Linked DNA regions of Rhinolophus ferrumequinum. The protein of the gene in region 1 purifies or fractionates together with the protein of each later gene. This does not show direct contact. Links are inferred from orthologs where the notes say so. Each region holds a gene or a part of one and is shown in the gene's direction. Other genes may lie near its edges. The genes, in order: VDAC1, ATP5F1C, ATP1A1 and BSG.

Region 1 (7,655 bases):
CTCCAATTTCTGTTTGTTGTATGGCCTCTCACTTTCACCCCCCGGTCTTCTTCTTATAGGAAGGACCCTTGTGATTACACTGGGCCCACCTGGACAATCCAGGTTAATTTCTCCATTTCAAGATCCTTTACACAGGGGGCCAGTCCCGTGGCTCAGGTGGTTGGAGCTCTGTGCTCCTAACGCGGAAGGCTGCTGGTTCGATTCCCACATGGGCCAGGGGGTTCTCAACCACAAGGTTGCCAGTTCAACTCCTCGACTCCCGCAAGGGATGGTGGGCAGAGCCCCCTGCAACTAAGATTGAACACAGCACCTTGAGCTGAGCTGCCGCTGAGCTCCCGGATGACTCAGTGGGTTGGAGTGCATCCTCTCAACCACAGGGTTGCCGGTTTGACTCTTCGACTCCCGCAAGGGATGGTGGGCTGCTCCCCCTGCAACTAACAACGGCAAGTGGAACTGGAGCTGAGCTGCGCCCTCCACAACTAAGACTGAAAGGACAACAACTTGAAGCTGAACGGCACCCTCCACAACTAAGATTGAGGGGACGGCAACTTGACTTGGAAAAAGTCCTGGAAGTACACACTGTTCCCCAATAAAGTCCTGTTCCCCTTCCTCAATAAAATCTTAAAAAAAAAAAAAAAGATCCTTCATATAATCACATTTATTAAGTTCCTTTTGACATGCAAAGTAACATATTTATAAGTTTGGGTGATTAGGACATGGGTATCTATGGGAAGTCATTATTCTGTCTACCATGGTTTGTCTCTCTCATTTTTAATGTTGTGGTTGCATTAATACTAAATATATGGTTGCCCTCAGTTAGCATTGTAACAGAAATATTTCCCCACAGGAAGTCTTTGTAACCTTCTTTCCTCAAGGCTCTGAATCTATAGAGGGGATGTGCTTCAGTTTGCTGAAGCTGGAAACCAGGCTATGTTCCATTCTGGGCTGCTATACATCTGCCTGAAGCTAGGCTGGGATTATTGCCATAGCATAGGTTCCCAGAAACAGTCAGAGGGAGTAGGTTTTAGGTTTTGATTCTTATTACATGTCACCTAAGTGCTTTCCAGGATTGTGTCAGTTTACACAGCCTCTCCTGATCAACCTCGTTTGGCTTTCTTAAAAATTTCTCTCTTTTTATAGTAAAGGTATTGTATCATTAATAGAATGGGAAATATAGAAAGGGCCAAAGGAAAAAAATCATAGTCTCCTAAATTGAAACACAATTTTCTCTAACACTTAATGCATTTCTTTCCACTTTTCTCTCTCTCTCTCTGTAAAAACATGGATATGATATTAGAACTCCTTGGAACTATTTTAGATCTAGGACACCTCATATTTTGGGGTACGCAAGAGAAATATTTTTATTATGCTCATCTTGGGATGGTTTTCATCCTGTTTTCCCAGCTGACTACTGCTCTCCATGTCAGTCAGAACCTGGAGGCCAGGCTAGGTCCTTCCCTGGAAGATGAGTGTCAGGGCACAATGTGGAGAGTACACCCTGAGATTCTTGACCACACATCCTCAAGCCTAGCTCCTACCTAGACTATAGTCTGGAATATGGTTAGAAAGGTTAGGTTTTATGACAATTCAGTTTTATATTCTAATTCATTCATGCTGGTTACAAGCAGAATATTTTTCTCTTTAAAAATTATATATATTACATCTTCCATTTCTACTTTCATAGACCTTATCTTTCTGTTCTGATTACTTGGCAAAGACGGTATTAAGAAATCTTATTGAGGTACATCTGGCCCTGAAAAGAAGTGTGGAAAGTGTTTCAACATAGGTTCTTTGTAAATATCTATATACCTATATAGTAGAAACGTTATGCCTGTAAGCTAGATATAAGAATTTCCCTAGAATGAAATATTCTTACACCAGTCAACCATTCCAGCATTAAAAAGAAAAATCTCATCTTCTCTGGATGTTGAAGGGAGGAGTGGAACTGAATTAGGTAGGACCTGGAAGAAAACCTAATCCAAACAGGACTAAGTAAAAAGGAATTTGTCAGCCCAGATAGCACAGAGGGTGGTGTGAGGCCTGGCTAGGTCCAGGACATGTTGTCCCCAGGACCTGGTGTCTCTCTTTTGTGGGCCGAGTTCATTTTTAAAGTATTTACCTCAATAGCCCCAGGAAGTCTGACTGGGTCTCACTGGTCCATCCCTGTGGCCAGGGGAGTACAGTGTATTGATTGGCCAGGGTGAGTCACAGGGCTACCTCAAGAATGGCCCTGGAGTCAGCTGCATGAGGATTGTGTACTGAGAGGAGAAAGGTCATTCCTCCAAAGAAAAACTGTTACACCTTACCTGGGTTTCTTACTTCAAATTTACGAGAGAGGACCTGATTGGCTGGTCTCAGGTCAGGTGTCCATCCCTGGCCCAATCAGCAGTGGCAGCCAGAGTGGAGGTGGGGCTGGGGTCGGTAAGCCTGGTATGACAAATTGCCTTGGCTCAGCTCTTCCCTCAGGACTACAGTGGTGAGAGGTCAACACTAGGGTCTGAGGGCTTCTATGTCCCAGTTGATTTCTTCACCGTTTTCTGAGTGCTTACTTGTTACATAATCCATTTTAAACTCACAACAACCCCCTGAAGTTGAAGCTGAGAGGTTAGGCCCACAGTGCAGGGTCACACAGCCAGTAAGTGACCCAAAGGGTGCTCAGGTGATTAATCTGAAAGCGGCAGGTAGGGGAGTCCCAGAAGGGACCCAGAGCAGGTGGGGCATGGGGAACTCTCCTCAGGTTGCGGGTCCTGGAAGGGGGATTGGCAGGGAGGTGCTGGTAGAGGGGAGGGAGCAGCTTGGACATTTGGTCTAAGCAGCACATTTGGGCTTCCCTGACCCAAGGTGTGGCACCTGCTCCTAGATCATGTGAGATTTCCAGAATCCCCTCTCTCGACAGAACCACCTGGTCCTGCCCTACTTCCCGAGGCCTGTCCTCCCAAACTGCCTCATTGCACTTGTGGGTGACTTTGTGACTTTCCCTGCCTGACCCTGTCCAAAAGTGGGCTGGGGCCTTTGTGTGTGGGGTGGGGACAGCCAGGTTGGGAAGCCCTGAGTTCCCAGTCAGCCATGGAGAACCTTATGGTCCTGGGGAGAGTTCTAGCATAGGTCCTCTACTCTCCAGGGCCTCGAGGGGTTCAGGGGCAACTCCTCACATGTTCAATCAGACCTGAGCCCCCTACAGAGCCCAGGGCCCCCTGTCAGCACCCCTTCCCCCTCTTAAGCTCCCTTCTTCAACAGCTGCCTCCATTGGAACACCAGTTGCCACTTGCTCATTTAAGTTTGCCGACTCTTTCCAGCAGCCGGTCTGATTGCTTCTTGGGACGCCCCAGAAGCGTGCCTACTCCTTTAACTTGTGCCACAGCTGGTTGTGAGCGAGTGTTCTCTCTGTAGTCCGGAGTACGGGGCCCTAGACGCCTCAAGACTTGAAGAAAATTGGCTGAAGGCGAAGGCTGTGCAGAATCTTCACGCCACGAATTCCTTAATTCTTGAAGGCGGCTTGGGGAAGTCGGCTTGGGATGGCCCTCGCGTGGGATGCCGTTGACACTCAGTGGTGATGGAGACCACCCGCGTAGGCCTAGCGGGGTGACTCTAGGCGCTTTATCCGAGCTCAGCGAGGAGGCAGGGCCCGGGTGGACGCGGTTCCGGGTTCCCCAAGAGGCCATGGGCTGGTTGTAACCTGTGGTACCTCCCGAGCACCATGAGACCCAGCAGATGTTCTTGCAAAACGCAATTTGCTTTTTTCACTTCTCAAACGCTCCGAAAATGACTGCTAGCAGCTTCGCTACCGGGGAAAACTGCTAATTTGGACTGCAAACTTGGCGCACAGGGGTTTTCTGGGCGCTGCCCCCTGGCACCGCAGGGCTCTACGAGCCGGGCCCGGCGTAGAGAAGGGTCCGCGGCGCCGGAAACAATGTGTCGGGAGCGAAGAAGTAACAGTCGTGGCCGCTACTCTGTATCTGCGCTGCCCGGGCGCCTGATCCCCAATCGGGGCCTGGGAGCCCGATTTAAAGCCCCGCGCTGGCTTTGCTCTGGGGTACCCGCGGTCACCTCGTCCACCCAGGCTGGGTCCGGGTCCAGCGCCACCCGCCAGCCACATCAGCTCCTGGGGGAGAGGGGTTGTCTCCCAAACGCAAGGCCGAGCACGAGGTCCAGGACCCCGCGTGTCTGCGTTAGCTCAGAGGATCCCTGGCCGACGCTCCGTTAACCGGAACAGCCCCCCGCCCCCCCATCCCGGATGCGTCAACCCGGCGGGATTTCCAGCAGAGACTGGCGGGCGCCGGCGGCCGGCACGCGTGTTCCTGCGCACGCACACACCGCGCGCACGTCAGCCCCGCCGCCCCGGGCCCGGGCGCACGCGGGCCCTCACGCAAGCCCGCGCACGCCCGTGGGCTCTGGCGTCCGCAGCGGGCACTGAGGGGCGCAGAAAGGTGCGTGCGGGGCTCAGGACCCGGACCGGGACCCGGCGTGGGCCTGGGTGGTGTCCGGGGCGGGCCCCGGGGCGGAGCTCGCCGGGCGGGACGCGCAGGGTCGGGGCGGGTCCGCGCCGCCGCCGTCCGCGCCGCTCCGCCCTCGGCCCCGCTGCTCTCCCAGTTCCCAGCGCTGCAGCCCCCTCCGCGGCCGCCGCCGAGCCCATCGCCACCGCCTCCGAGGTAGGCGCAGCCGAAGGGCCCTGGCTCTGCCTGCGCCCCGGGCTGTGCGCCTCGTCCCTGGGGAGTCGGGGAGGAGATGGGGGACGGACCGGCGAGGGCCGGGGAGGGAGCGGGAGCGGCCCGCGGGCCTGGCGGGTCAGTGGCTGCAGAGCAGGCCGCGCGGGCGGGTGGCGAGCGGGCCGGGGTTGGGGAGCGAGAGGCCGGGCATCCGGAGGTGCCTGCGGCTTGGGGCCAGAGCCCGCGGGGACTTAGGGCGGAGGGACACGGGCCGCCGCGTGGAGGCCCGGCCGGCTGCAGGTCTAGGTGACCTTTCCCGGCGGCGCCCTCTGGCCCTCGATGCCGCCAAGCGCGGGTCGGGCAGGGACCTGTTTGTTACCCAAGCTCGCGGGGCCGGGCCCACGGACGTATGCAGGTCGCGCTGTTGCCGCGGGGCGACCGTGGCGACCATGGCCCGGCGCCCCCAGTCCCTCACGCCCTGTCCGGCCTACGCCCGGAGAAGCTGGCGCCGGACACTGTCCGCGCGTGCCAGCGCCTTCGGGGCGGAACGGGAGGCGGAGAATTGACTTAGGCCGCGGGGTCTGGGGCTGGGCCCTGGGCAGAAGGTTAGGCCTAGGAAAAGGAGGCCCCGCGGAGCGATGTGGCCGGTCTCTCGGCCTAAGCAGGGGTTCCTGGTTCCGGCGCTCATTCATTACCCAAATGAGGCGGTGCATTCTCGAAACTGGTTCACCGCTTTCGATTTGAGGCCCGCAGCCCAAGTGACTTGTCCAAGGTCACACAGCTGGGAGGATACCACACCTCAGTTTTCCCATCTATAGGTTGGGAGCAATTATACCTCTCCTTCGTTGGGTTTTTGGGAATAAAATGAGTTGATGGACAAGAAGCCTTCAGAACAGTGCCTGGCAAGGAGAAAGCCTCGGTAGAAGCCTTGACAAGCCTTTTTGGGGAGACTGGTTTGCTCCACGTGGTGTTCTGGAAAAGATTCAAAAAACACTGCCCCTGATATTTTACATATTAGGTAATATTAAGCATTTGTGTGCTAGGCATTGAGTAACTTTCATGATAATTCATGAAAAATCCCTGAAGTTTACAGACAGGATCCAGGTGGAACTGGAAGTCGAATGTGGGTGCAGAGGTAGGCCTGTTCCACCTGAGGCCCCTATCCTCTTGACTACCCTCTCCAGAGGAGATGGGGAAATGGGCTCCTTTGCCTAATATGCTGTTGGCAAGGCCAAGGTAGACTGCCCAGGGCCTACCTTCTTTCTGTCCACCTTAGCTGTAGACTGAGTTTCTACACCCTCAGGCATAAGCCCTATGTGGCTTTGTTTTTGGTGCCTGTGGTGCTACCTGGCACACAGTAGGTACTTAAGAAGGGTCTGTGGGGTACATGCACTTTGCTTTTTATCTAGGAGTTGACTCAAGCTTATGGACAACATAGCTTTTGCTGTTCCAACATGTGGCTTATAGTAGTTGCTCATTAAGGATTTGTGGAGTTATTGAATGGGCGTGTGGAGCGACTGCAGGACCAGACCATAGCGCCTTGATCCTGGACATCCTTTTGGAGGGACACATGCATCTCACTCACTTCCAGGAAGTAGCCTTGCCTAGCAGAGAGTCACACATAGTCAGGTTGCCAGGGTTTATACAGCCCTAGAGCAGTGAGAGGCGAAACTTCCCTCATTTGAAATAACTCCTTCAAAGGCGTTACCTTCATTCTGTGACTTTCCAAGTCCTGTGGGAAACTTGTTGAACTAGTGTTTCTGGGTTTGCAGGGCGGGTGACACGGGTGGCTGGGATGCTCCTAAAGGCCTTGGGCTGTCAACTCGTCCCTCGTACGGTGAATGGGCCACGGGCTTCTGCTGGAGTTGACCTGAATGAAGTGCTTGACCCTGGGGCCAGGGGCTGCTCTCAGTTGATTAGTTTTATTTCTGCTCTTCTAAAGCGATAGGCAGGGCTCTTGATAGACACAGACATGGGCTCACGGGGCCCGTGAGCTTCTGGTCCGGCGGGACTCTAGGCGGATGTGGACGACCACTGCGTAGTTGGTGTTGACAAGGCACATTCACCCCCACCTTCCCTGGTCAGATGCCCCCTAGGTGCTGAAGTCCACGGTGCCCTGGATGGCGTTGCTCTCACAGTGTGATAGCTTTGATGGTAGAGACTGAGAGGTATGTGTGTGGCTGAGGGCCAGCAAGCCTGCAAGCAGCCCCTCAGGGCTCACAGGGCCTGTGACTCGTCTGGTAGCCCCTGAAGAAAGGTGAGCAGTGGGGTCCTCAGCTGGGCCTGGGCACAATGCTCCCATTTCCTGCTTGCTCTCAGGAGGGTGAGGGTGAGTGGGAATCTAAGCGCTTTACCCAGACTGTACTGGAAAGAGTCCTGGAGAGCAGATGGAGCTTGCAACACAGCCGTAGGGTCTAGTACAGATCTAGTCACTGTCCTGTGCCTCAGTTTCTCCAGTATGAAAGTGTCATCATCATCACAGTCACTGTTTATTGAATGCACGCTCAGCACCCTCCTGGGGGCTTGACATATGTTCTGTGACATTGAATCCATCATCGTACGAGCCCTGGGAGAGAGTGACTGTTGCTTCCATTTCATGGTTCAGAAGGCTTGAGCACAGAGAGGTGAGGTAAGCATCCAAGGTCACACAGCTCAGCAGCAGTGGAGCTGGGGTTCAGGGTCTGGTCTGGCTAGTTCCAGTGCTGGTGCTTTCAAACTGCAGTTGTCACTCCAGGGGGCCATTGCGAGGAGCTAGTAGATGGGAGTGCTTTTTGAAAAGTAGAATTTGCTGTTCAGAGGGGAAGCGCTATTTGTTCACACTGATCAGAGTTAGCCAGGTCCATAGCAGGGTGTAGGCCAGCTGTCAGGGGATAGCGGTCAGGGGAGTCACCCCAATTTGTTGCAAGGGCAGTGGCACTGGGTTTCTATCAGAAGGGCCAGTTTTCCTGGGATAAGGTGGGAGGTATTCTTCTAGGACCTGGCTGGACAATATTCAACTAAACAATACCT
Region 2 (8,468 bases), on another chromosome or scaffold:
ACAATCCAGAGTCAAAGTTTTCACTTTGACTCAATGTACTTTAATGTAAAAGAGTACGAAAAGTTCACTGATAGGGTTTCAAATTCCACATTGCAACTAACTTTTAAGAAATTACCACGTATTGTGTTGTGATGTAATACCAAAGCGGAATATTCAAAATTATCTGAAAAGACTACTAAAATACTCTGTCCCCCCCTTCCAACTACAACTCTATGTAAAGGCTTGGCTTTCTTTACGTGCTTCAACCAAAACATTCTAAAATAGAATGAATGCAAGAAGCAGATGTGAAAATCAATTAAGTCAGACATTGCAGAGATTTGCAGAAATATAAAATAATGCTACTTTTATCACTGTTTTTTTGTTTTGATTTAGAAAACATAGCTATTTTTCATTAAAATGTTATTTATTTTAACACGTAATATGTTTGCTATTATTTTTAATGAATTAATATTTTTCAAAAATTTCTCAGTTTTAATCTACAAGTATCAATAGACATAACCCACATAAATAAAAGCTCTTGGGAATCTTCAATAATTTTTAAGACTGTAAAATTTGGTCCTAAGACCAAAAGGTCTAGACTTTTGGAAAGAGATGGATAGAAGCAAGATTAATTATTAATAGTAATAATAATAATTAACAGCTAATATTGTGTATGGCGCATTCTTCTAAACACTTTAACAGTATTAATTCCTTTCATCTTCATATAAACCATATGAAGGGACTATAATACTTAAAAGAGTGTACTATTTTTAGTCCCATTTTACAGATAAGGAAAGTTAAGCACAGAAAAACAATGGAGAGGCTCGGATTTGAAGGATTTAAAATCAGGCTAAAAGACAGTTTCCTTTGTCTAAAGTGAAGAAAAAGAAAGGCTGAATTGCGAGAAACTTTATTTTCTTAACAATTTCATACTATGATAAATTGGCAAAGGAAGACAAAAACTGAGCACAGAGATAATATAGCTATCATGTTAATATGTAAGGAATAAACAGAGCCACCGACATATAAAGTATTAAGCATCTATTAAATGTCCAACTGAATAAAGCTTATGAGATAAAGATGTCTTTGAGTTACTTACTCTGAAAAATAATCCATAAACTGCTGAGGATTTTCTGAAGCCAGCAATAGTTGTCTCTGATGAGATTCAGACATACAATGACACTTAAAGCCATTCTACAAAAACATAAAGGCAGTAGTTAAATTCTGACTTAGGTCATCGTAATGGGCCCTGAGTAGAAGTATGTAATTAAACCCTAAAAAGCTGCTCTTTGATGATAAATTGTAAAAAATAATCAAATCATTAGCTGTAAGCACCCTATCATTAAATTTTTTTTTTTTTTTTTACGAAGTTGAATTTAGCAACCTTGCTAATCAAAGACTAATCCCCAGGATTAAAGAGACAGAAAAACAGTACTTTAGAAACATTACTGGGCAAAGTAGCAGAAGAGTGAATTTGTTTTTTTTTGTTGTTGTTTTTGACTAAATTTAACCAATTCCTATTGAGTACCTACTTCATACAGAGAGTTATGGAAGCATTTCGAGGGATATAGTGAAATAAAATAGGTCATTAGTGAATTTCCACTAAGGAAACCATTTTTCACTCACTCTTCCTTTCCTTTATCTCATTATCCAAAATACATCAATTTTTTTATTGTTATAGTTTCAACATAATGAGTAGACATTTACACCCCTCACAGAGTGATAGCCCCCCGAAGTCTACTACCTCAAAATACGTTATTACATATTACAGAACCTCATGTTAAACATACTAAATCTGTATCGTCTTCAGATGATTGTTAAAAACATGTAAGTTTTGACTTTGTATCTGTTCTACTTACCACTTGAACCTGATTCTTCACTAGTAATAGAAATGAAAAACGTGCCTCTCCTGACCCCGCATCTCAATGAACAGCACTATTCTACACCCAGTCACCACGCCAGGACGAGGATTGTTTCCCAGTGTCTTCTCCTTCATCCCACTTTCCATTCGTCATTAGGTCTACTCAGCCTTCTCCGTAACCTCTTCTTCGTCCCATTGCCATTGTCCTGATTTCACACTGAATCTTGCTTAGGGTACTTTCCTAATCTTCAGTCATCCACAGACCTCCTACAAAATTCTTGCTCATCTTTGCATCTCTCTTACTTAAATATATCTTAAAAGAAAACTTAGTATCAGTCTCATAAATGAAACACCAGTCCCATTTTCCCCAAATTAAAAATAAGTCAAAGTGAAAACAAAATAATGTTATTAAATCCTGGAAATCCAAGGAAGGAAGGGAATACTCTAGATCTGACCTTTCTCCCCCTCTATCTTCCAATATCGAGACAGAAGACAGAGGAGGGAATTTATAGGGGTCAACTTCTCCTCCCCCAGGCTGGACTCCCTGGTAGTGAAGGGCAATGAACAGATCTGGGGGCAAAGAGGCCAGGACCACCGCAAATGCCTTAAGGAGAAAGATTAAGCATTTCTTTTCCCTTTCCCATAGGAATTGTATTGCAGGATAACATGTGAGAATAACCCAAAACTAGCTGATGAGAAGCTCATTTTTACAAATAATTGACAGCCAATAAGAAATGCACAAAGAATTAGAAAAATAACCACTTTGCAGCTCCTAATGAAATAACTGACTCAGGCAAAGTTGCTAAAACACATGTAGGTAGGTTGATGGGAAAATAGATATATGGCCATGATTCCAAAGAATCACTCCACTAGTTACTCGCTCTTGCAAGAGAGAAAATACTACTTCCTAACATTACAGGCTGTCATCTTTACTCAGTCACCTTAGCACTCCTGGACATATGGGCTCCCCTACGTGATGCGATATGAAATACACTGGATCATCTATGAAGCAGTCTTTCTCAAAGTGTTTAACCTGAACCTAATCAAGCCTTTAGGTCTAAGTTCCAGTTTACAGAAACTACAAGAGTTAGGGAAGGAAGGCAAAAGACAATCACAAGGAAACAATTCAACATATCCAGAAAGTGGGAATGCTCCCGGATGACTGACTGAGTTAGTCTCTTAAGTCAATTCAAGAAACAAATTGGCGGGGAGTGAGTGCTATTCTAAATTCAGAATTGAGAGAGGATTAAAAGTCCTAATGACCTGGAGCACAGAGATTTTTAGGGCAGTGAAACTACTCTGTATTATACTATAAAAGTAGATACATGTCATTATATATTTGTCCAAACCCATTGAATGTACAGCACCAAGAGCGACCCTAATGTAAACTATGGACTTTGGTGATAATGATGTGTCAGTGTAACTTCACTGATTGCAACAAATGTACCGGGGGAAGCTGTACATGTATGAAGGAAGGCAGGGTGTGTGTATATACATACACACACACACACACACACACACACACACGAAATCTCTGTATCTTCCACTCATTTTTGCACTGAATCTAAAACGGCTCAAAACAATAAAGTCTATTTTTTTAAAGCCTTAATAACCAAATCCAATTCATAGTTTTTGATTGGATCTTAGCTTAAGCATTTGAAAAGCATTTGGGGGAACAAGTGAGGAAACATGAGTATGGAACATGTATCAGACAACATGAAAGAATTTTAATTTTGTTATGCGTTGATGACATATATTGTGACTGTAAAAAAAAATCCTGATATTTTAGAAATGGATATTTAAATATTTAGAGGTGAAATATCCTTCTGTTTATAATTTAAACTATTTTTTAAAAAAGTAAATATGGCAAAATACTTAAAATGTTAAATCTGGGTAATAGACATATGGATGTTCATTGTACTGGTCTTCATTTTCTGTGTGAGAATTTCACCTTGACTTAAATGGAAAGAACTAAAGAGAAATGAAAGAGAATAACCATATCAATGCTATTCAATATGAGTCCCACCTAAAACATCTCATCCCTCACTTGCAGAAACAGTAGATGAGATTATTCCAATTCCCCAGTGTTCTTCCGTCCTTACCAACTAGACCTCCAGAGGAAAATACGATGACATCACTAGTCTGCTCTTCATCACCCACCTCATTAGTGGGGAAAAGTGTAAACTCCACAGCAAGGCATACAAGGCTTTTCAAGATCTGCCCAAAGACCCCGACTCACATTACACATAATTCATTTAAAACTCACAACAATCTTACAAGTAGGTACAGTTATTGTTCCCACTTTACAGATAAGTAAACAGGCAGAGAGAATGTAACGTGCCCAAGACCACACAGCCAGTAAGTGGTGCGGCTGGGCTTTATAATTCTGACAGTCTGACTCGCGTCCACACCTTAATAATAATATCCTGGCACATACTAAGGGCTGAAAATATGATTGTTAGATGAGCAGTGTACAAGAGCTTATTTCTCCTTTTTCATCTGATCCCGAAAAGAGCTGTGAATCCTAAGTATCCTGTTTCTCCTAAGAGGCACGTCAAGTCAGAGGTGATTGTTATTTCTATTGCCCAGGCGTCCCGGCATTTAACTATTCAGGCCTCCGTTTTATGAAAGCTTGAGTAGGATCACTTCTACAAGAACCGCAAAACCTTTTCTTTTTCGTATTTCTTTTCTTTTGGGGGCAGATTGGGGAAGACAGAGGCGTCAAAGAGCACTGGTTCCCCACCAGGACGGGAGCTGCAGGAAGGAATGTCCCTACTGAGTGGAGTAGCTGACTTGCCCAGTGTAGACCCCACGACTAGGGACCTGAGACCCAGGCCTTCACCTCCAGCGTCAGGGACTCGAGCCAGGATTTCCAGCCGGACCCCGCCAGGGGAGAGGACGAGGCACGGGCATGAGCCATCCCGGGCCGCCTTACCTCGTCCCGGCACTGCTTCTGGCACATCTGGCAATACCAGCGCAGCTTCTGAAGCCCTTTGGATTTGATTCTGTTGGCGATGGCTTTCGGGGTAAGAAAATCTGACTTCCCCATCGCGACCACTGCAGCGATTACTTTTTGGAACCGAGTGCCCTGCCAACCGGAAGCGGAACGGGGCTGACAGGGGTGGGCGGGACAAACAGCCGCTGCGAGCCGGAAGGAGGTGGAGCCTCGGAAGGCTGAGCCCCCAAAGCTCGCGAGGTTTCCCTCAGCCTGGCGGCTAACAGCGAGACTGAAGAAGAAAGCGGGTTGGGAGGGGCGGTGGGGAGTCTCCTGCGCGTGCGCGCTGAGGCCTGTCTGACCGACCTTCAGCTTGGGCCAGTACCACCATGTTTTCTCGGGCGGGCGTCGTGGGGGTCTCGGCCTGGGCCGTGCAGCCGCAATGGTATGGCAGCTTGCGGTAGGAACGGGAGGGTCGCGAGGGATGGAAGAGTTCGGTGAGGGAGAAAAGGAAGCGGGTGGAAGCGAGTCGGACGGAACAGGGGTTGCAGGGCCTGCTCGGCCCCCAGTCCCACGGAGGCCCCGGGAAGCTCGGGCTGCAGGAAGCGCCTCCGATCCGGGAAGGGTGCGCGAAGGGACTGGAGCGACCTCTCGGTCACGCCACGTCTCCTGAGGCGTGGTGGGGCGGGGTGAAGGCCACGAGGAGTGGTCCTCTGGGACCTCGGTATTGAGACCTTAGTCCGAATTAATTTCAGGGCGGTCCTGGATTCATTCAGCTAATAAGTACTTGCGGAGCTCCCGCTGTGTGACTGGCAGCGAGTATCATGCTATCTTTACCCGGAGCCACACAGTCGGGGGGGGGGAGGCCCTAAGGCAAGGTCTAGGGGAAGGTTAAGTTGTACTCTGTGTCCTTGACACCCACTGAAACCCTGCAGTGCTGGGCAGAGTTTGCATGGGCCAGTGCAGAGCGGAGTAACTCTTCAAGAGCGGTTCGATTCGGCCAGAACGTTTATTAAGCACCGACCATGTCGCAGACGCTTTGCTAGGCACTGGTGAATCAAATAAGTGCCCTCGTGGGCTGATGGTAGTTGAGGTGCAAACGGGACCTTACACATCTGTCAGTTGGCGAGGAAGGGAAAGACACCAAGCACTATCTTGAAACCATTACGCTGAAGCAGTAACCCTGCAAGGTCATAAAATTGTCCCAAGGTCCTGAAGGGGAAGAGGAGATAGAGCTAAGTGCCGTCTGTCGACTGCCGTGCACGTTTTAAGGATTTTAAACATTGGTTCCCGAAAAAAGTTGCATGTTAGAAGGCCTAGGAATAGCTAGATTAAACTTGGTTTGTGGTCGTACCGTATAATAGGATGAAATACCTTGAAGCTAGACAAGAATCCAGGAGAATTTCAGACACTGTTAAGGGGTTTATTAGCTGTAGTCTGTCGCAATTCCCCGTTTTTACAGTAGAGAAGAATTCTAAGATGCTACAAAAACGATTTTTGTATCCAAATTTATGTGAAGGGACTATAAGTCATTAATTGAAATAGGTGTGGTTTTCGTTAAGCGAAGAATTTATAACAGACAAGATTTTCAGGGTAATAAAGTAATTGTGATATGAAATAGCTACATAAAAATGTTGGTGGATTTGCCTTGGAAGTCAGATTTCTTTTTTGCCTACTATTGAAAAAAAGTATTCGTGGGAATTAAGAACTCACCGTAAGTGGACTTCTGTCATGCAGATTGTGCCACTATTAATCACTCGGCAGACACTTGACAGTTGGTAGGTGCCTGCGCTGCACCAGGTTGGCAGTGCGGCGAGTGCTGAAATGTGGTGAACAGACATAAGCGGTCTTGCTTCGTGGAGCGGTTCATGGATGCAGTGAGGCTCAGCAGTCAGCTCTCCTTTCCTTCCCGTCTTGCTGTGCATTCATGTTAATGGTCATTATTTTTAGAACCATAAAGTGGTATCTAAGTTGATCTTTAAATGCAGAGTTCCTGAAACGAGGACAAGTATTTTACATAATACTGTGGAAATAACTTCTTTTAAAATCCTACAAGACAATTTGAAGATCTTTTATTAAGAGCTGTTTTAACTATGAGTTCACTCTCAATCTGTGACAACTACTGCCAGGACCTTAAATGGAACCTCAATCAGCAAATAAAGGTCATGCTTCTGATCTTCATCCCTTTGGAATGTGTTTTTAAATTGGTAGGTTATGAATATTCATCAGCCATCAGTGTTCCTCAATGGAAAGCATATTCTGTCCCCTTTTCACATTTTCCGTCACTCTGGGTGCCTGACGTCTTACTGCCTCTGGTGCCCCTTTGCTTCCCATTCATTATAATTGACTTTTAAATTCAGAAATGAAAACCATATTAATGATTCACACTCCACAGAATTAATTAGAAAAGAAAGAAAAATGCCTTTGCTTTAATAGAACCAAGTGGCATTTTCTTGGTTCTCTTGGTTATTGAAAGCTTTGAAATGTACAATTTGTCATTGTTAGGTTTTGTTTTAGGGGGGTTAGCATGCTAGTTTTAAGTAAACATGAGTCATACTTAGAAAGTACCCCAAATTTTTATATATTAAACCTGTACTTTTAAAAAATAGCATAGAAGAAAATGGAAATAAGAAATCTGGAGGGAAAAGTTTCTGTTCTTCTGTCTCAAATTAGGGGACAGTACATTTCTATTCCCTAGTGTTCTACATTCTTTAAAATGGAACTATTTTATAATAGAGCAGTGGCCATAAATTGAAATATGTACATTGAAAAGGAAGGGAGATGGCATTTCAGGAGAGAAAAGGCAGATTGTCACCTGAGGCTGAGAAAGCAGATGTACAAAACGGGAGGCAGCAGGGTATGTATGGTACAAGAGGTGGGCTGGAGCCAAACTGCTGGGCTTTGAATCCTGACTGCCACTCACCTGGCAGTGTGACCTTAGACAGGTTACTCAGTGTCTGTCTCTAATATTACTTACCTATTAAATGGAGGTAATAATACTACTACACAATTAATAGGTGAATGTGAGGGCTAAAGGAGTCAGTATTTGTAAAGAACTGAGGGCAGTGGAAGATATGCTGCTGTGGACCCAGACGTATCAATTGAAAAATGAGACCGAGTTTATAACTACAGTTTCTACTGTATAAAATAGAATGTAAGAAGGTTTATTGTACTTGCCAAAGAAGACTCAGTCACGGGCTGAGTCTTGGTGAAGAAGTGCAAGGGAGTTGTTTTCTAGTGGAGGGACAGGTGATGGACTTGCACGCAGGCATTCTGTGTTATAATTACACATCATAATTTTGTTTTCCTTAACAATTGGTGGCTGCTGCTACTTCCTTAATTTTTATATTATACTGCATTTATATGCTCCTTGAAATTCTCTCAGGCATCTGTAATGTCTTTGATAAATCATTCATCTAGCAACCTCGCTGACTCCTTCCACCACTGCCTTCTTCAGCTTTTCTAACAATGCTGTATGAATACAGGAGAGACTGGTAATCCACAATCTGTGATTTTTCCCACCCACTGTATTTCATATGTTTCTGGTTTCTCAAATAATCTCCTGAATGTTCCTTGAGACATGATGTAATTTTCTAGAACATAAAACTGATTCAGAACTTTATCTTTTCATTTGCAAAAATTGTATATTCATTAGATAAAACAAGCTATGGTTTTTCTGTACTCAAATTGTAC
Region 3 (7,685 bases), on another chromosome or scaffold:
CGGCCGTGTATGTTCATTCCCCTGGGAACAAGAAGGGTTAGATGACACTTTTCTGCTGCCACCTCCTCTGCATCAGGCTTGCCCGTGCTGGGTTGTGCCTGAAGCCACGTCTCTACTGTCATCTCTACTGTCTGGATGCAGATGACTCTGGCAATAGAATATTTTTCGGTCCAAATTGCTTTTTTGTTGACATTTGATTTTTGTTTGTGATGCCCCAGTGGTTGTTGATAGGTCGAAAACCAAGGGTGAGTTCGTACATGGCAGGATATTGTAACACTTCATAGTGTTTTGAACTGCCGTTAGGGGCATCAAAGAAGGGTATGAGGGAGAGTGAGAGAAGACGGAATCCTGGCTGTTAATTTCAGGATCTGATGTAAAACACATGAGAACCAAGTAAAGGGTCCTTTAACACTGTTTTATTTACAAAGTCTGCCATTAATAAGAGCCAATTATTTCAGTGGCAGTTGTGTTAAAGGGAAGCCGAGGAAAAGACTGAGGACTTGACTCTGTGAGGTTGGTAACAGACCCCAGGCCAGGTACCGTGTGAAGGCTGACTTTTCCAGATTTCAGGAAGCAAAACTTGAGGGCTTCAAAATCATTAACAGAAAAGAAGTTGTGATATATAGATAATGTGTTATAGAAATGTACACTTGAAACCTATGTAATTTTACTAACCCTAATAAATTCAATTTTTTAAAAAGCTAAAAGTCTGCTTAGAAGAATATTAAAGAGCTTTAAAAGAGAATGAAGAGATGAGTAGAAAATGGAGTCTGGAGGAAAAGTTACAGGGTCAGAATTATTTAGCTGACAGATTTTTGATGGTCAGTGGAGTGTTTAGAACTACGCTTTTAAAACAGGAGATAATACGTCTGCTGCTGGACAAGAAGAAATAGATTTGCAGTGGTGGGATGTACACTGGCGAGGAGGAACTTTGGGGTGGTAAGAAGAGTTGGCTTTAACGCAGGGAGAGTGGCAGCTAAGTAGCTTTCTGGGGTGCCGAGGAAATAGAAAAAGATAAAGATGCGAACATCAGATTGTTTCCATGCTAGATCTGTCCTTCCAGATCCCTAGCTCATCGATCCCCCAAACGTTTGCTGCCTATGGAAAATGCTTACTTGGTGTAGGCTGCAACCTGTATTTTTAAGCCCTTAATTGCAATGGTGTATTTGTTCAATGCAGCAAATACTTAAAGTGCTGGCGCTTGGGCTCAAAATACTGACTTGCATCATATTTTTCATACATCTGCTGATTCTTTTCACAATGACTGGGCCAACCTTCCATGGTGGTGTCAAACCCTCCTCAACACTTGGCAGCCTTGGGGTCTGTAAATGTTGAGTCTCTAGGGCAATTCCTTTCATTGTTTTCCACGCTAGGTGCTTAAAAAGAGCTGAACGGAGGCAGATAGAATAGGGAGGCAGAACTCACCCCACCCTCTCTTCTGGAAGTACCGTCCTCTCTGGGAGTTTGAAAAGATACACAAAGGTTCTGCTATTCTCCTGGGACTATCCAGCGCCCATACTCTCTGGCCTTCAGTTTCTTCATTGTGAAAAGAGGGGCGTGTTTGATCGCTAAGGTTCCAATCAGAAGCCCCTCCCAAGAGGAAAAAGGAAGTCTTTCCCAAAAAAAGGACATTTCCCCCCTTGGTTGCCTATGTTCCAAGGTACCTCTCCTGCATCTGAAACTTCTGCTTCTGAAACCTTGGTCCTGGCCATGCTGTCCTTGTGTCTTTAATTCCATAGGTGTGTCCAGGGCTCCATATTACAACAGGGTAGGGTTTCTTCCCAACACTCTTTCCCATAAAAAGTTGGCAACGCCTGCTTCTTTACCATATTTTCCCCCTTTACCTCCTAAAATTAGTCCTCAAGTCCTGGCAATAATCTTTACCCCTAAAAACACCCTTGAAGACTGCCCAGTGCCTAGACCACAGCACTTGGTATGGGGGGATCACGTTTAGAGAAAGCATTGACTTTAGAGGAACAATCGCCAGGCCCTTTCTGATATTCTAAAAAGTTTCTGTGGAATATCTTTCTTTCCATAGGACTGACATGGAAAATGGCATTACGAATTTTGAAAATGGAATGGGATTTGCCTCTGGAGGTGGGGATCAGGTGGGCCAGAAACCGGGGACTGAGGGGCGTATGCGCCCCATAAACTGATGAAAAGCGGAAATAGGAAGAAAAGGTTCTAGCTGAGGTCTTCTTGGTAATACAAAAGGGGAGGCATGTGGAAACACTGTATTTGTGAGGATTGCAACATTGAGAACAATGGCTGTTCTCCCACCCAAACTTCCTTGGTGCTGCGCTCTGAGAGCAAGCTTTCAAAGTGGGAAGATGTTATTTTGTAATTTTGAGGACAAACTCCCCGAATCACTAACTCAGTGGTCTTGTGAGAAGAAAGTCCCCCAGCCTCCCATTTCCCACTCTGGAAAAATGCAGCTAAAGCCCTTTACCGTCCAAACTTATGAGAATCCAACAGGATTTTTATATGAAAAAGTGCTATGGGGAGGCCAAAGCAACATACAGATTTTAGTTAACAATTTTTTAACTTTTCCCCTCTCTGGAATACAGCTAGAATTTGGAGGTCCTCCTGGAAGGACCTTCAGCTGCCAAACAAACAGCTCTAGCGACAAAGGAAAATGCCTTGATCTATCAGGGTTATACTGTGGAAGGAAAAAGGATAATTTTACTTATGGAGAACAAGGAGCTCAGTTGGCAGGAGACATCCACATCGTTCAGAGTTTTGCTTTCTCCATTTGGTTGTTGTTCTTGCTGCACTTTTTCCGTTCAGAACAGGGCCCAAGGGATGATGAATCTTAGACAAGCTAAGAGATCTCGTAAAAAGCACAAGTCTCCTACAGGCCAGCAGTCACGGGGCCTGTAAAGAAAGCGTTTTCTAGACCCTTGGAGATGGAGCCCTGATAACGTTCTGCAAATGCCTTCTGTTGAATTAGCAGTGTTGGGGACTCTGGATTTGGGGCTCTCTCTCCCCAGCAGTCATAAATTTGAGTTCCACTTACAATTTCTGCTCTTCCTGGCATGGAATGATTTAACGAAGCCTGAGGATCCAGGATCAGGGGAGGAGGGTCCAGCCCTTAGCAACACATTCTTGGGCAAGAGAAGAAACAGTTTCTTCTAAGAAAGACTAAGAATTACCGAAACCTTAGCATTCCTTCCCTGCCTCCCTCCCTCCTTCCCTTTCCTCCCTATTTCTTTCAAGCTTCCCATCTCTATTTGTTCCTGTTAAATGAATACTTGGAGTTGATAGGGCCAGCTTTTACTTGCTTAGGAAGTTAATATTTTCCTTGTTTCTTGTAGTATTTAACAGAGAGGTGGAATGACTTTCTCCGGAGAATACTGACTTCCTGAAAGCATTGTTAATAATACTACTACCTTGCTTTCTAAATGGAGACTTCCAGCCACTGCAGCCTCTGCTAAGAAGCAGAAGCCATAATGCGAGGGAAGTCCCATAAGGCAGCCAGGCCAGGGCTCTCTGGGGGTGGGGATGGGGGTGGGTGGGGGGTGGGCGTGGAGGTCCGGGGCTCATCCTCACACTCGTGCCCAGGGTCCCTCAGAGCACCCAAGGCGGCACTGGAAGAGCACTGCTGTGCCAGTAGGCGGCATAGGGAGGCACCAGCCATGTCGTCAAACATCTTCCCCTCCAGTCGGCCCCTTTCGCTAACGATATGCATTCCTTAAGGTTTCAGGTGTTCCTCCTCTAAAAAGCGAATCACCAAACTGGACAAGCAGGTTTCATTCACACAGTTGCCTGAATGAATTCATTGGACGTCCTTTGCATTGTCATTTGGGGAGGACGCTTGGGGCCTCCGGCAAGGCCAGCCCAGACCCATTCCTCCTGGGGCGGAGAGGGAAGTGGATAACGGGGATCCCAGACCTAAGGAGGCCTTCGGGAGGGCACCGAGAAGCTGGTGGGCTCGGGGCCAGGACAACGCCGGGAAGCGGAGTCCCTCAGGCGGGCGGGGGCTGCAGTCACACCTGAACCCCCACCCCCACCTCGGCGCGTCCCTCCATCCCAGATGAGCTTCCTGATGCAGTGGAAAGGCCCCTCCGCGAGAGGTTTCTGTCCCGGTTCCCTGGAGATTCGGGGAGCCCAGTTCCGACAGCGTCCCCGCAACCACTGCGGACCTTCGGGGCCCTACAAAGCAGGCCGGTCACGCAGGGCGGCGCGGGGGAGGAGCACGGGAGCTCCATGGCCGCCGAGGCCGCGCTGCCCGGCCAGCCCGCGCCCCGCAGAGGCTCGGCCGCGGCCTCCCGAGACGTGGGCACGCGCGCCGGGGGGCCGGCGCCCTCCTGCCGGGAGTCGGGACTAGCCGCAGCCGGCGCGGCCCGGGTCTGGGGGGTGGGGTTTGCAGAGGGGGCGGGGTCCGGCCGGCGGCGGGTGTCAGGTTGCTCCGGTAACGGTGACGTGAGGGGCGTGGGCGGGGCCAGCACGCAGGTTGCATATTTTAGGAAGTGAGGAGGAGGCGCGGGCTGGAGCTGCGGCGGGGTCTGGGGCGCAGAGGAGCGGCGGGAGGAGGCGGACACGTGGCAGCAGCAGCGGTAGCAGCCCGGCGGCGGCGGCGGCAGCGGCGGCATCGGCCCGACCGCCGGCCGTCCTCCCTCCCTCCCTCCCGCCCCGCGGCAGCCCTAGCTCCCTTCTCGTTGCTCCGCTGGCCGCGAGCTGCTCTCTGCTTTTCTCGCTGATTCTCAAGCGGCGGGACCCCGCGCCGCGCACTAACCACCGCCACCATGGGGAAGGGGGTGAGTGTCGGGAGAGCTGGGGCCGGGGGCGCGGGGAGCCCCGGAGGCCGGGGAGGAAGTCAGGAGGGCGACCGCAGCCGGCGAGAGGCGGCGGAGGAGGAAGCGCCGCGCCGGGGGCTGGCACAGCGGCCAGGCTTAAAAGACGACGCACTTGGGAAATGGAGGGAGCGCAGCAGTGGGGGACGGCGGGCGGGGGCAGGGAGCGCTGGGGAGACGGCGGGCGGCCCCGGGAGAGGGGCTGCGGGCCCCCCCATTCCGAGCGCGCCGTGGCCCGGGGCGCCCGGAGCCGGCGCTCTGAGCCGCAGGGCTGGGAGGAGGGCGAACGGGCGCTGGGCCGCCCCAGGAAGCAGCCGGCCGCCGGCGGCATCCCCGAGCCCGCTTCCCTCCCTCCACCCGCCCTCACCTCCCATCTCTCGCCTTCCTCTTTCCCTCCGCCCTCCGTGCCCGGAGGCCAGGCGCGCTCCTCCCCTTCCCCTGGGGCGCGCAGCCGGGCTCCTCCCGGCTGCGGTTCCCGCCGCGGCCCGGGGCGCCGGTAGGGGCTTCCGACGCGGGGGCGGCCGTGGGGTACGAGGCTCCTTCTCCTGGAGGCGCCGGGGCTTAGCCAGCTTCCCGCAGAGACGGCCGCCCTCCCCCAAAGGAAAAAACTGGCTTCCCCGGACTGTGGAGCCGGTCGTGCGGGCTGGTGCCAGCAAGGGTGTGCCTTCACCCGCCTTAAGATGGCCTTTAAGGTATACTTCCGAGAGCTTTACTGGGACACTTTCCACAAACACAGGATGCGCCCGGGGCAACTGCAGTGGGGAGGGGTATGTAGATTTTTTTGGAGGAGGACAGGCTGGCCGACGAGGGCTTCTGGGTACGATAAACCCTAAAAAGGACTGGAGGCAGAGGACAAGTCGGCGGTGGTAGGACTGTGGAGCCGCGGGAGAGCGGTTCCCGAGGTATCCAGGGGGATCCGAGACAGGAAAGGAGAGCACGTCTGGTTCCTACCTTTCTGTCACTGGGAGCGGTGATAATCGGGACCCCAGCGGGGCCAAAGAATCTAGTTGAGGAATATATACAAAATATACAAATATATACCAAATGTATACAAATATATACAAAATATACAAAATTATACAAAATAACCCCAAAAGCATCAATTCATGGCATAAGATGACTAGGTCGTGAGAATACTGGTAGGAGAGAATCCACTCCCTTAGCTCTAGGGCTTGCGCTGTGCCTGCACTTAGTAGGCCTTTGAATGTTGCAGGGCTCTTCCCGGTGCAGTGAATGCTGGGGGAAAAGGGAGGGTGCATCCTGACTTCCAAATGGGTTTTGAAGGAGACAATTGCAAGGCTTGGAGGACCCGAGAGGGATAAGTGGGAAATGCACAACTTGTATCTTTTCAAAGCACAAAATGTGGGAAGGCTGGCGCAGGTCAAGAAGCTGAAGGCCAAGAGCTGAGTGCCAGCCTGTTACTCCCCACGATGGAAACTGGGTTAGTGGCCCGTGTTTGTACCGCACTGTCAAACCTTAGGTCATGCCGCTAAACAAGCTCTTTAAAAGCTCATTCCTTTATCTCTGCCCCCCCTCAAATAAAAAAGAGTTTTGTTTCTTGAGCTGGACAGTGCTGATTTGGGCGGGTGTAGAGCTCATAGATACCCTCCCCGAGGCCTAGGAAGGTGAAGTGACTTGCTCAAGGTCAAATGGTTGGTTAATGACACACCAGATGTCCCTGATTCCTGAACAGCCTGTGGCCTCCGCAGCCTGAACACTCACTCACTGCTTAACAGTTGCCTTATATGTAGAACGCTCAAGTCATTCTTCAGATGAACCGGGGGTGTTTCTGATCATGAATTAATGGACCAGAGAGATGTTTGAGTAAGTTATGTCTCTCTGTGTGTCTCTTTCATAACCACACACATACATAGTATTGGTCAAGTCAGCAACATACCTTGTTGGGGAGGTAGGTTCAAGCAAGGTGTTTCGTGAATCCCAATAAAATGTCTAGAGGCGAGCAAACACAAAATTGAATTATAGCTGGTTAACACAGGATGATATGCCCCTTATATGCTGGGTTGTAATTAGTGTCTTGGATACTCTGATAATTTGAACGTTAAGGGTGTATGTGTGTGTGTGTATCGGTGGTGATTCTCCTGGGATAAAGTTACCCTTTTTGTCCCCAGTGACTTACTGTGACAGTCCAAATGTCCAGAAGGATATTTTATGCTGAAATGTTGGGATTTTTCCACATGAGGATTAAAATGTGGGTGGAGTGATGACTAAAGCCCAGCTGATAATTGGTTAGCCAGGAAACCTGTGCTGGCGGCTCATTTTTAAGGTCATTGTTAATTTCTTCCCCTCTTCCTACTTTCGGATTGCCTAGATTTTGATGATATTTCAGGTGATTTTATTTCTCCTTAAAACTCCAGTTCCTGAGCTTTCGGTAGGAAAATGAAAGAACAGCTGAATCATTCCTGGATGAAATAGGATTTTGTCCCCTTTTTTTTTCATATTGGGTGTTTTTGCCAGTGACTTGGCTTAAATCCCTAGCTAGGCCTGCCACTCACAACTATTTAGCTCAACCAAGGTACACAGAAACGCTCTCTTCTCGGTTACAAAAGATTGGGGGGGGGGGGAGGCAGGGATGTCACCAGGTCCTTCACTGCAGTTCTCCATTGTTTGAATATTAACTTAGTTACCTAGAAAATAAATCCTAGCTCGTGGGTACTGGTTTAAAGAGGAGCAGGGAAAAGGGTTCAGGTGAAGGCTGGACGAGGGGTACACATGTCAGCAGAAATCCTGGTTGTATGGTAACATTATCAGCTGCCCTTTTGGAGCTCAACTTGAAAGTGTGACTAAATCTTCTCTGGCTGCTATAAAGTTAGTACTTTAGACGGAAAACATTGTAAGGCAGAGTGCTCGATGTGGAAAGGTGCCCAGGCCTGG
Region 4 (8,057 bases), on another chromosome or scaffold:
GTGCTGGCCTGGGTGGTGAATGATCATCAGCTGTAATTGGTTGGCCATCAGCTGTAACTGGTTAGCCAATTGGCTACTGATATAACTGCGGGGCTGCGTTGATTGGTTGGTTGGTTGGCAGGCAGAGAAGTGAATGGCGGACTGCAGATAGTGTGGCTACTACTGCGTGTGTCTCCCCCAGCTACCAGAGAGAATATAGTCGTATGACTCCCCTACCTATGGCTCCGTGGGTGTTCCTTTTTGGCCTCACCATATCCTGCGTTCTTATGTGGGGAGCGGGACCAGAGACCCCACAGGCCGCCCTGCACGACAAATGGCGCAGTGAGCAGGGTCTCCCGCAAGACAAATTCTCTACAGGCTTAGACATTTCTTATGTCAACAGTGGCCTTGCCTGTCTGTAATTCATAACCAGAATGGAGCAACAATTGTTTAGAGGGGCCTCTCACCCAAGCTTCATGTTAGAGAAAATCCACACAGACTGGGCTGCCAGGTTCCTGCTCTGTGATCCTTGCTGGCTGAGTCAATCCTTGGAACAGAGCTCCTAGGATAGAAATTCAACCAATGGGCCAAAGACCTGCCTCGTCCAATCGGATCTGTGCAGCAATATCCTCTTTGCATCTTTCCCCACCAATCAGAGTGGCTCCATTTTGACCAATCAGGGCAGTCCTATTCAGACCAATCAAACTGTGAAAATTTGGAGTCCAATTTGCATAGAAGTGGACCAATCAGGGACCAGCGTGGGAACTTCTCTATAAGTCTGCCTCCCTGCCATCTTTGTAGAGCACATCCTCAGTTTCCATTTAATGTTGTGTTTCCTTGGCTGGGGCTATGATGCCTGAATCACGTTCCCCTTCACTGTACCCCAAATTAGGGATTCCTGGTGGTACTGAATTGTTGCTGAGGACGACCTTCGGTTGACACAAGTTTCTGTGTGGCTGTGAGTCTTCAGTTCTCGTGGGCATATACCTAGGAGTGGAATTGCTGGGCCAGATGATAACTCTGTGTGTTACTGCTGGTGTGTTTTCCATATTGACTGCACCATTTCACATTCCCACCAGCAGTGCACAAGGGTTCTAGTTTCTTCACCTTCTCCAACACTTGTTATTGTCTGCCTTTTATTACAGCCATCCTAGTGACTGTGAAGTGGTGTCTCACTGTGGTTTTGATTTGCATTTCCCTGATAGCTGGTGACATTGAGCACCTTTTCATGTGCTTATTGTCCACTTGCATATCTTCTTTGGAGAAAAGTGCATTCAGATTGGGTTATTATCTTTTTTTTAAATACTGTTGTAAGTGTCTTTATATATCCTAGATATAAGTTCCTCATCAGATACATGATTAACCAATATTTTCTCCCATTCTGTGGGTTATCTTTCCACTTTCTTGGTTTTTTTAATGATTTTTATTGGGGAAGGGGAACAGGACTTTATTGGGGAACAGTGTGTACTTCCAGGACTTTTTTCCAAGTCAAGTTGTTGTCCTTTCAGTCTTATTTGTGGAGGGCGCAGCTCAGCTCCACGTCCAGTTGCCGGTGCTAGTTGCAGGAGGCACAGCCCACCATCCCTTGCGGGACTCAAGGAATCGAACTGGCAACCTTGTGGTTGAGAGCTTGCGCTCCAACCAACTGAGCCATCCGGGAGCTCAGCGGCAGCTCAGCTCAAGGTGTCTGTTCAATCTTAGTTGCAGGGGGAGGAGCCCACCATCCCCTGCGGGACTCCAGGAGTTGACTGGCAACCTTGTGGCTGAGAGCCCACTGGCCCCTATAGGAATCGAACCGGCAGCCTTCGGAGTTAGGAGCACAGAGCTCCAACTGCCTGAGCCACCGGGCCGGCCTCTTGTTGTTTTTTAAAGCACAAAAGGTTTTAATTTTGAGGAAGTCTCATTTATTTTTTTCTTTCATTGTGTGTGCTTTTGGTGTCATATATAAGAAATCATTGCCTAATCCAAAATCACGAAGATTACATTATTCTATTTTTGTTTTAAATTAGTTTATCATTTTAAAAAGCATTTGTTATACTGTATTTACCCAAAAATAAGACCGGGTCTTATATTAATTTTTGCTCCAAAAGACACATTAGGGCTTATTTTCAGGGGATGTTTTACTTTTTCATGTACAACAATCTACATTTATTCATGTACAACAATCTATATTTATTCATTTATTCATGTACAAAAATCTGCATTTATTCGAATACAGTCATGTCATCTTCTTCTGGAACATCGTCATAACTCTCCAAACTCCAAATTCCAGCTTGAATTTCTTGCGACTCCATTTCCTGTAGAACCATTGGCCCCAATCTCTCATGTCCAGCAACAGAACTCTCCTTAAATGAGCACTTCTTGTCCATGTAGCCTGCTCATCGTGCATTGGGAACACAGCTGTCAGTGATTTTATCCCATGAATTCTTCACCCAAGTCACGGCTTCTTGCAGGCTAGGCTTCACAAAGTTTCCACGCTGATTTCTCTCCATTCTATTTTCAATGTAGTCATTGATTTCCATGCACAAATCGTCCTTGAATTGCTTGCTTATTGCAATATCAAGAGTCTGCAGATAGGCAGTCATTCCTGCGGGAATCATTATTTGATCTATTCTTCTCTCTGCAAGGAAGTTCTTCATGTCTTTAGCGCGGTGAGTGCTGGCTGAATCCCAGACTAGCAGACCTCTTTGGCCACCTCACAAATGGCAAAACAAATTGCAGCATTAAATCGACCCACTTCCTTATAATTGCTTGTGTGCACCAGGCGTTCTTTATTTTAAGAACATAAACACGTTCAACTTTTTCTCGCCCTTAGTGATGATTAGAGGTGGGGCTTTCTTTCCACCCAGATGAATTGCCAAAATACAGATAACACGTGCACTTTTGTAACCAGTGGAGGGAATGTAGATTGACGAGGCACCCCTCTGATCAATTGTCACTTGAGATCCTTGGCCCATAAATACTGCAGTTTCATTCATAGCCATCACATTTGGAGAGCTGGTATTTAGAAAAGTCGATGCCATCAATAAAGGACTTGAATGCAAGTGCACATTTAATAACTTCAGTATCTTCCAGCTTGAACACTGCTGTCGATCTTAGAGACAGTTCATATCGCTGAAGGAAGCCATCCAGCCAGTGTTGTGATGCTTTGAATTCTTCTGGGGATATTTCTAACTGTGGTGCCATTGCAAGGGCAAATGCTGGAATATCAGCCCTGTGCACAACCAAAGCCTTTGCTCTCCTGTCAGCAATCCATTCACAGATGATCTCTTCCAGCTCAGGAAATAATGGTTGCTGACTTGATCCACACTTGCGCTTCTTAGCATTTCCCTCGTCCACCTGTTGACTGAGGTTATTGTACTCTGCTCGCCATTTTCGGACCATTCGGAGATCCAACTTCTTCTCTTTGCAGAAAGCCGGAAGATTCTTGCCCCAGGAGTAATCCACGAGTCCTTTCTTATACTCGACAGAATAGCTCTTTCTCATCTTGTCTGGGGGTCAAAATATTATTCCCTTTAAACGTACCATTAAATCAAGAGTTAATTGAAGACTACGAGACAGGAGTGACAACAAAAATGATGATAGTTAAGAATGATGGTCCACACAAAAGCGGTGAAAAATTGCAGGCACCAAAATTCAGAAAAGGTTTCTTTATTTCACAAGAGTGCATTAAGTACGTCCATTACAATACGCAACGTATTGAATTATGAAGATTCATATTAGACACAACCACGTCTGCTCGTTATCAAGTGCACACGTTATTCGTGAGTTGTGTTTATACTCTGATTGGTCATTCGGCAATAAGTTTCGAGTTCATGTGTTTACATAGGCGTTTACCTCTTATCCGAAGGCGCCCGCTTGGGTATTTACAAATACTTAATTATAATTTATATTATCATTTATTTAAGTATTAATGCCAATAATATTATTTATATTTAATTATATATAAATATTATTTTATAATTCAATACGTCAGTCGTGTGTTGCAACAGACATACTAAATGTGTCCGTCTGGCTGACAATCTTAACTGGGGCTTATTTTTGGGGTAGGGCTTATAATATGAGCATCCTGAAAAAATCATGCTAGGGCTTATTTTCCAGGTAGGTCTTATTTTCGGGGAAAAACGGTAAAACATGGGGACCTCAGGGTAGGTTTTCCAGACAAAACACAGGACTGCCAGTTATGCTTGAATTTCAGATAAATAGCAACAATCAGATAAATAACGAGTATTTTTCTTGCATCTCTATGTCTACACGTTGCACGGGATAGTTACGCTAGTAAATCACTCGTTCCCTGTGTAAAATTCAAATTTAACCGTGGTCCAGGTCTTTTTATTTGCTAAACCTGGCAGCCCCTGTCCCCCCAGGGAACATATCCCACCTGTTCACAAGGATCCCTTAATGTTTTTTTGTTGTGGTAAAATACACATAATAAAAATTGAGCATTTTTGCCACTTTTGAGTGCACAGTTCAGTTCTCAACACTTTCTAAAAGAATGAAAGCCTCGCTCGCATTTCTTAGCAACGTAGCCACGCCCCTAGGCCGCAGGGCGTGGCGCGCCGGAGTCACATGCGCCGCCTTCCAGGCTTCCGTAGAGCAAGCCTGCCAGGGCCAGCGCGTGCGTACGTGCGTCTACACGCGTGCGCAGGCGGCGGCCAGCGCGCCCCGCCCTTGCGACACCGCCCTGCGTGCGCGCGCCCAGCCAGCCCCTTGGATTATTACAGCGCCGGGGGCGGTGGTTGGCGTCGGGCAAGGCGGCGACATGGCGACAACGCTGCTTGTAGTATTGGGGCTCGCGCTGCTGAGCGCTGACAGAGGCACCGGGGCGGGTGAGAACTGGTCGGGCGGGGGCCGTGGGTTCGCCCTCGGGGGTCCAGCCGGGCGGGGGTGGAGGTGAAGCCCCGTCCTCCTAGGGGAACCCGTGAGCTCCGGCGGAGACAGTGCCCGGGGTTTGGGGCGCTCCGAGGACTCCCCGCCGAGGTGGTATGTTGGGAAGCCCCGGCTTGGGGTCTCGGGGATCCGACCAGGACGATACTGAAGTCCCAGATTTTTGGCGGCCTGGGGGAGGGCGGGGTCTGGGAGCTGTTGTGACCCCTGGTGAGGGCACCTGGGGAGGGGATCTGGAAGCGGCCCCCCACCCTTCCCCCGCTGGGGAAGGGACGAAGCGGCTGGGTCTTGGGATCGGGGGCCCAGGGACCTGAGGAAGCAACTTGAGGGTGAGGTTCCCCGGCCTGGGTGTGCGGGGCAAGGGGCGAGAAGGGCCCTCCGGACTCCCTGGGGCGCTTAGCTCTTATCTGGAAAGCGGGCTGTTGTCCTCAAGTGGACGCTGGAAGCAAATGCACTTGAGCGTCCCTGAAGCTGGCGGCCGTCGAACTGGCAGGGATTGTCATTCTTGCTGGGATTTAGGTCCCGACTCTCCTGGGTGTGCATCTGCTCCTGGTGTTCACCCAAACTTTTAAACCCTTGTAGGGAGGCCGACATGCTCTATTGCCTTAGGTTTTGTCTGATTTCTGGGCACAGATAAAACTGGTTTAATCCACCAGCCTCCTTTTACAGGGGTGGAAACTGAGGCTCCGGATGGGAGGGGGATGTTCCAAGGTCACCGTGAGGTCGCCCTGGCCACCCAGTTCAGAGCAGGAAGTGGAAAAGGTTGTGTATACAGACTCTCAAACAGCATTCAGTTTTCAGAGCTGTTAGGAGGAGTGGGCAGGGTTTTAGGGGTGGGCAGATGTGGTTTGGAGAAGGCTCGGGGGGAAAATGGGTTAAGGTGCAGTTTTCCAGGAGAAAGCCTGACAGACGTTTTCTTCCCCTGTGGAGACTTTCTTTCTGGTTCTGGGTTACCAATTTAGTGACCGGCATGTAGGGAGCAAAGTGCAGACGTGAAAGTTTTGTGGCACTGAGCCCTGGAGGGGCTGCCTCTTGTAGAAGTTTCACCGGCTTACTCCTGACCTACTTTAAGATCTCAGTTCGCCTCTTCCTCTTCTTATAATCAAAACGGCCATTTATCGAATGCCTCTGGGCTACCTGTCTGCCCACCAGCGCTCTCTGGAAAGACTTACGTAGGACCCGTAGTCGAAGTGAATTCGGAAGATAAGCAGCTGGGGCCTCGGTGGCTGGAGACAGCCAAGGGGGTTAAGGGACCGTGGTTTCCTCTGCTGTGGCGCACAGCCCCCCAGTGTGCTCCTCGCCTCAGAGCCCCAGCCAGGAAGCCAGGAGGCTCTGTGTGGGTGCAGGTTGGGGGCTTTTCTTGCATGCTCCCTGCATGGGGTTCACTATGCCCTCTGACCCCCTGGGACTCCTGTCTGTTTTGTTTTCCTTTTTTACTTTTGACAGCTCCCCCTTTCCCAGGAACTCTTGAAAATATCTGAAAGTCTTTCAGAGGATGTCACCACATGTTCCTTTTCTCCCTGGGAGGAGTGACTTAGTGACAGTGTTTGCATATTCAGGCCAGCTCAGCACCCCAGGAATGCTCTGGGTGCTCTGCTGGGAGACCCTGGCTATCCCTAGGATTGCCCGGGGTCCTGTCATTCCGGCCAGCACGTTGGGAGGGCATGGGCTTGCCATCTGGGTTCCAAGGGCTGATGACTTGGCCTCTCTGAACTGCCTCCTGGTGGGATGGAGAGGAGGGTGGTGAGGTGGGGAGCCCACGGCTGGTCCCCAGAAATGCTCTTGGCTCCTATCTGGGGCCTGCAGTGCTGCTGTGGGTGGGAGGAGGGTGGGGACCTGCAGCCTCATCCTGATAGCTCCTGGGCAGTTCACCACGAGGCCTGCCTGGCCCTGCTCCCCAGCCTGGCTGCCTAGTGGGCACTGAGCAGGGGTGGCTGTTTTTAGATGAAGGTGACTTTACTTGAGAGCGTGGGTTACAGTCACAGGGCTGGAATGCAATTTTCACTTTCCACTCCCTGTGGATTGGGGTTGCTCCCCACCATCTCCTAGGCCCTGGGTTTGGCCAGGGGTTGCCAGAAGATGTGCTTTTCAAACTTTCTCAAGCATGGACGTCCTCCCAGAAAGCCCCTTGAGACCTTTTTCCTAATGGTCCTGTCCCAGTATTGTTTTACTATCACAGATGTTAGCATCACTTCTACCACAGATGTCTCTGTGCGTGACCCCGAGTAGGGTCACAACCACTAATGCCTAAGATACCCCTCCACACACACACTTACACGCACCCTTGGGAGTGACGGGGCCCTGTTGAGGGTACATAAGAGAGGTGGCCACATGGTGGTTAGCTCACGGGCTCCTTCGGGTGACCACTGTCATGTGGCCCAAGTGTGGCCTGGCTTGGTCCCCTGCAGTGTGTGGCCTTCAGGCCAGGGCAGAGGTGTGGGCCCGAGGGGCTTTAGGCTGGCTGTCAGGCCACCTCTGTTGCCACACCCGAGGCAGATGCAGCTGGGACAAGATCTGACCCAGCTTTCTAGCGGCCCTGGGTGAGGAGATTAGAGCACTGCAGGGGCTGAGGCTCTAGGGTAGAGAGCAGGCCTGTCTAGCAGGAGGCCTGCCTGGGCCTCGCTTCCAGCCCTGACTCATTGCTTCCAGCTCTGCACATAGCTGGTGTTTTGCAATCTTGGGAAGTTTTGACTCCTGAGAAGTGTGGATTACCGGGAGGTGATTCTTTTGTGATAATGGCACTGCCACAGAAGTTTCCAGCTTCCAGCTTCACACCTTCGTCTGGTTGTAACTGTTCCTGTCCTGAGTCCTGGGAATTGCTTTTGGGTCATCCCAGGTGAGGGGACATGAAGGTCCACCTGTCCCAGGGTCTCGGGGCCACCTCACCCCAAAGCAGACAGTCTGAGGCCCCAGGGTCATAGCCAGGGCCATGAGTGTGTGTGTGTCCATGTGCGCTCTGTGGGTACACGTCTGTGTGCCCCTTCTGCCCACACGCACACATGCTGTGGTGTGCGCGTGGGCATGCTCTGGAGCAGGGTGCGCCCCAGCCCCAGCGCCTCCTTGCCTTTCCTGTCTGGCCTTGGTCTAGCATTCTGCTTCATCCCCTGCTTGCCTGGAGTTCTGACACGTCATGTCCTCTTTTAAAGTAAGAGCCAGCAGGTGGCTGGCAGTGGGGCAGTGAGAACTGGCCT

The links.
Region 2: the proteins of VDAC1 (region 1) and ATP5F1C fractionate together in Homo sapiens (co-fractionation; 3 studies listed by BioGRID, with this or other methods). This does not show direct contact. The link is inferred for Rhinolophus ferrumequinum from reciprocal best matches to the Homo sapiens genes VDAC1 and ATP5F1C.
Region 3: the proteins of VDAC1 (region 1) and ATP1A1 fractionate together in Homo sapiens (co-fractionation; 3 studies listed by BioGRID, with this or other methods). This does not show direct contact. The link is inferred for Rhinolophus ferrumequinum from reciprocal best matches to the Homo sapiens genes VDAC1 and ATP1A1.
Region 4: the proteins of VDAC1 (region 1) and BSG purify together in Homo sapiens (affinity purification with mass spectrometry; 3 studies listed by BioGRID, with this or other methods). This does not show direct contact. The link is inferred for Rhinolophus ferrumequinum from reciprocal best matches to the Homo sapiens genes VDAC1 and BSG.

The regions. Positions count from the first base shown.
Region 1 is NC_046307.1:10,066,793-10,074,447, reverse strand, and holds the start of VDAC1 (voltage-dependent anion-selective channel protein 1), read left to right. Parts: upstream 1-4,311; 5' UTR 4,312-4,427; intron 4,428-4,512; exon of another isoform or gene 4,513-4,649; intron 4,650-7,655. UniProt on the Homo sapiens protein: Non-selective voltage-gated ion channel that mediates the transport of anions and cations through the mitochondrion outer membrane and plasma membrane.
Region 2 is NW_022680355.1:13,361,930-13,370,397, forward strand, and holds the start of ATP5F1C (ATP synthase subunit gamma, mitochondrial), read left to right. Parts: upstream 1-5,078; 5' UTR 5,079-5,164; coding exon 5,165-5,220; intron 5,221-8,468. Other genes in the region: KIN (DNA/RNA-binding protein KIN17), read right to left, coding at 1,079-1,173, 4,776-4,889.
Region 3 is NC_046305.1:46,576,499-46,584,183, forward strand, and holds the start of ATP1A1 (sodium/potassium-transporting ATPase subunit alpha-1), read left to right. Parts: upstream 1-4,477; 5' UTR 4,478-4,745; coding exon 4,746-4,757; intron 4,758-7,685. UniProt on the Homo sapiens protein: This is the catalytic component of the active enzyme, which catalyzes the hydrolysis of ATP coupled with the exchange of sodium and potassium ions across the plasma membrane.
Region 4 is NC_046301.1:62,249,338-62,257,394, reverse strand, and holds the start of BSG (basigin), read left to right. Parts: upstream 1-4,625; 5' UTR 4,626-4,741; coding exon 4,742-4,808; intron 4,809-8,057.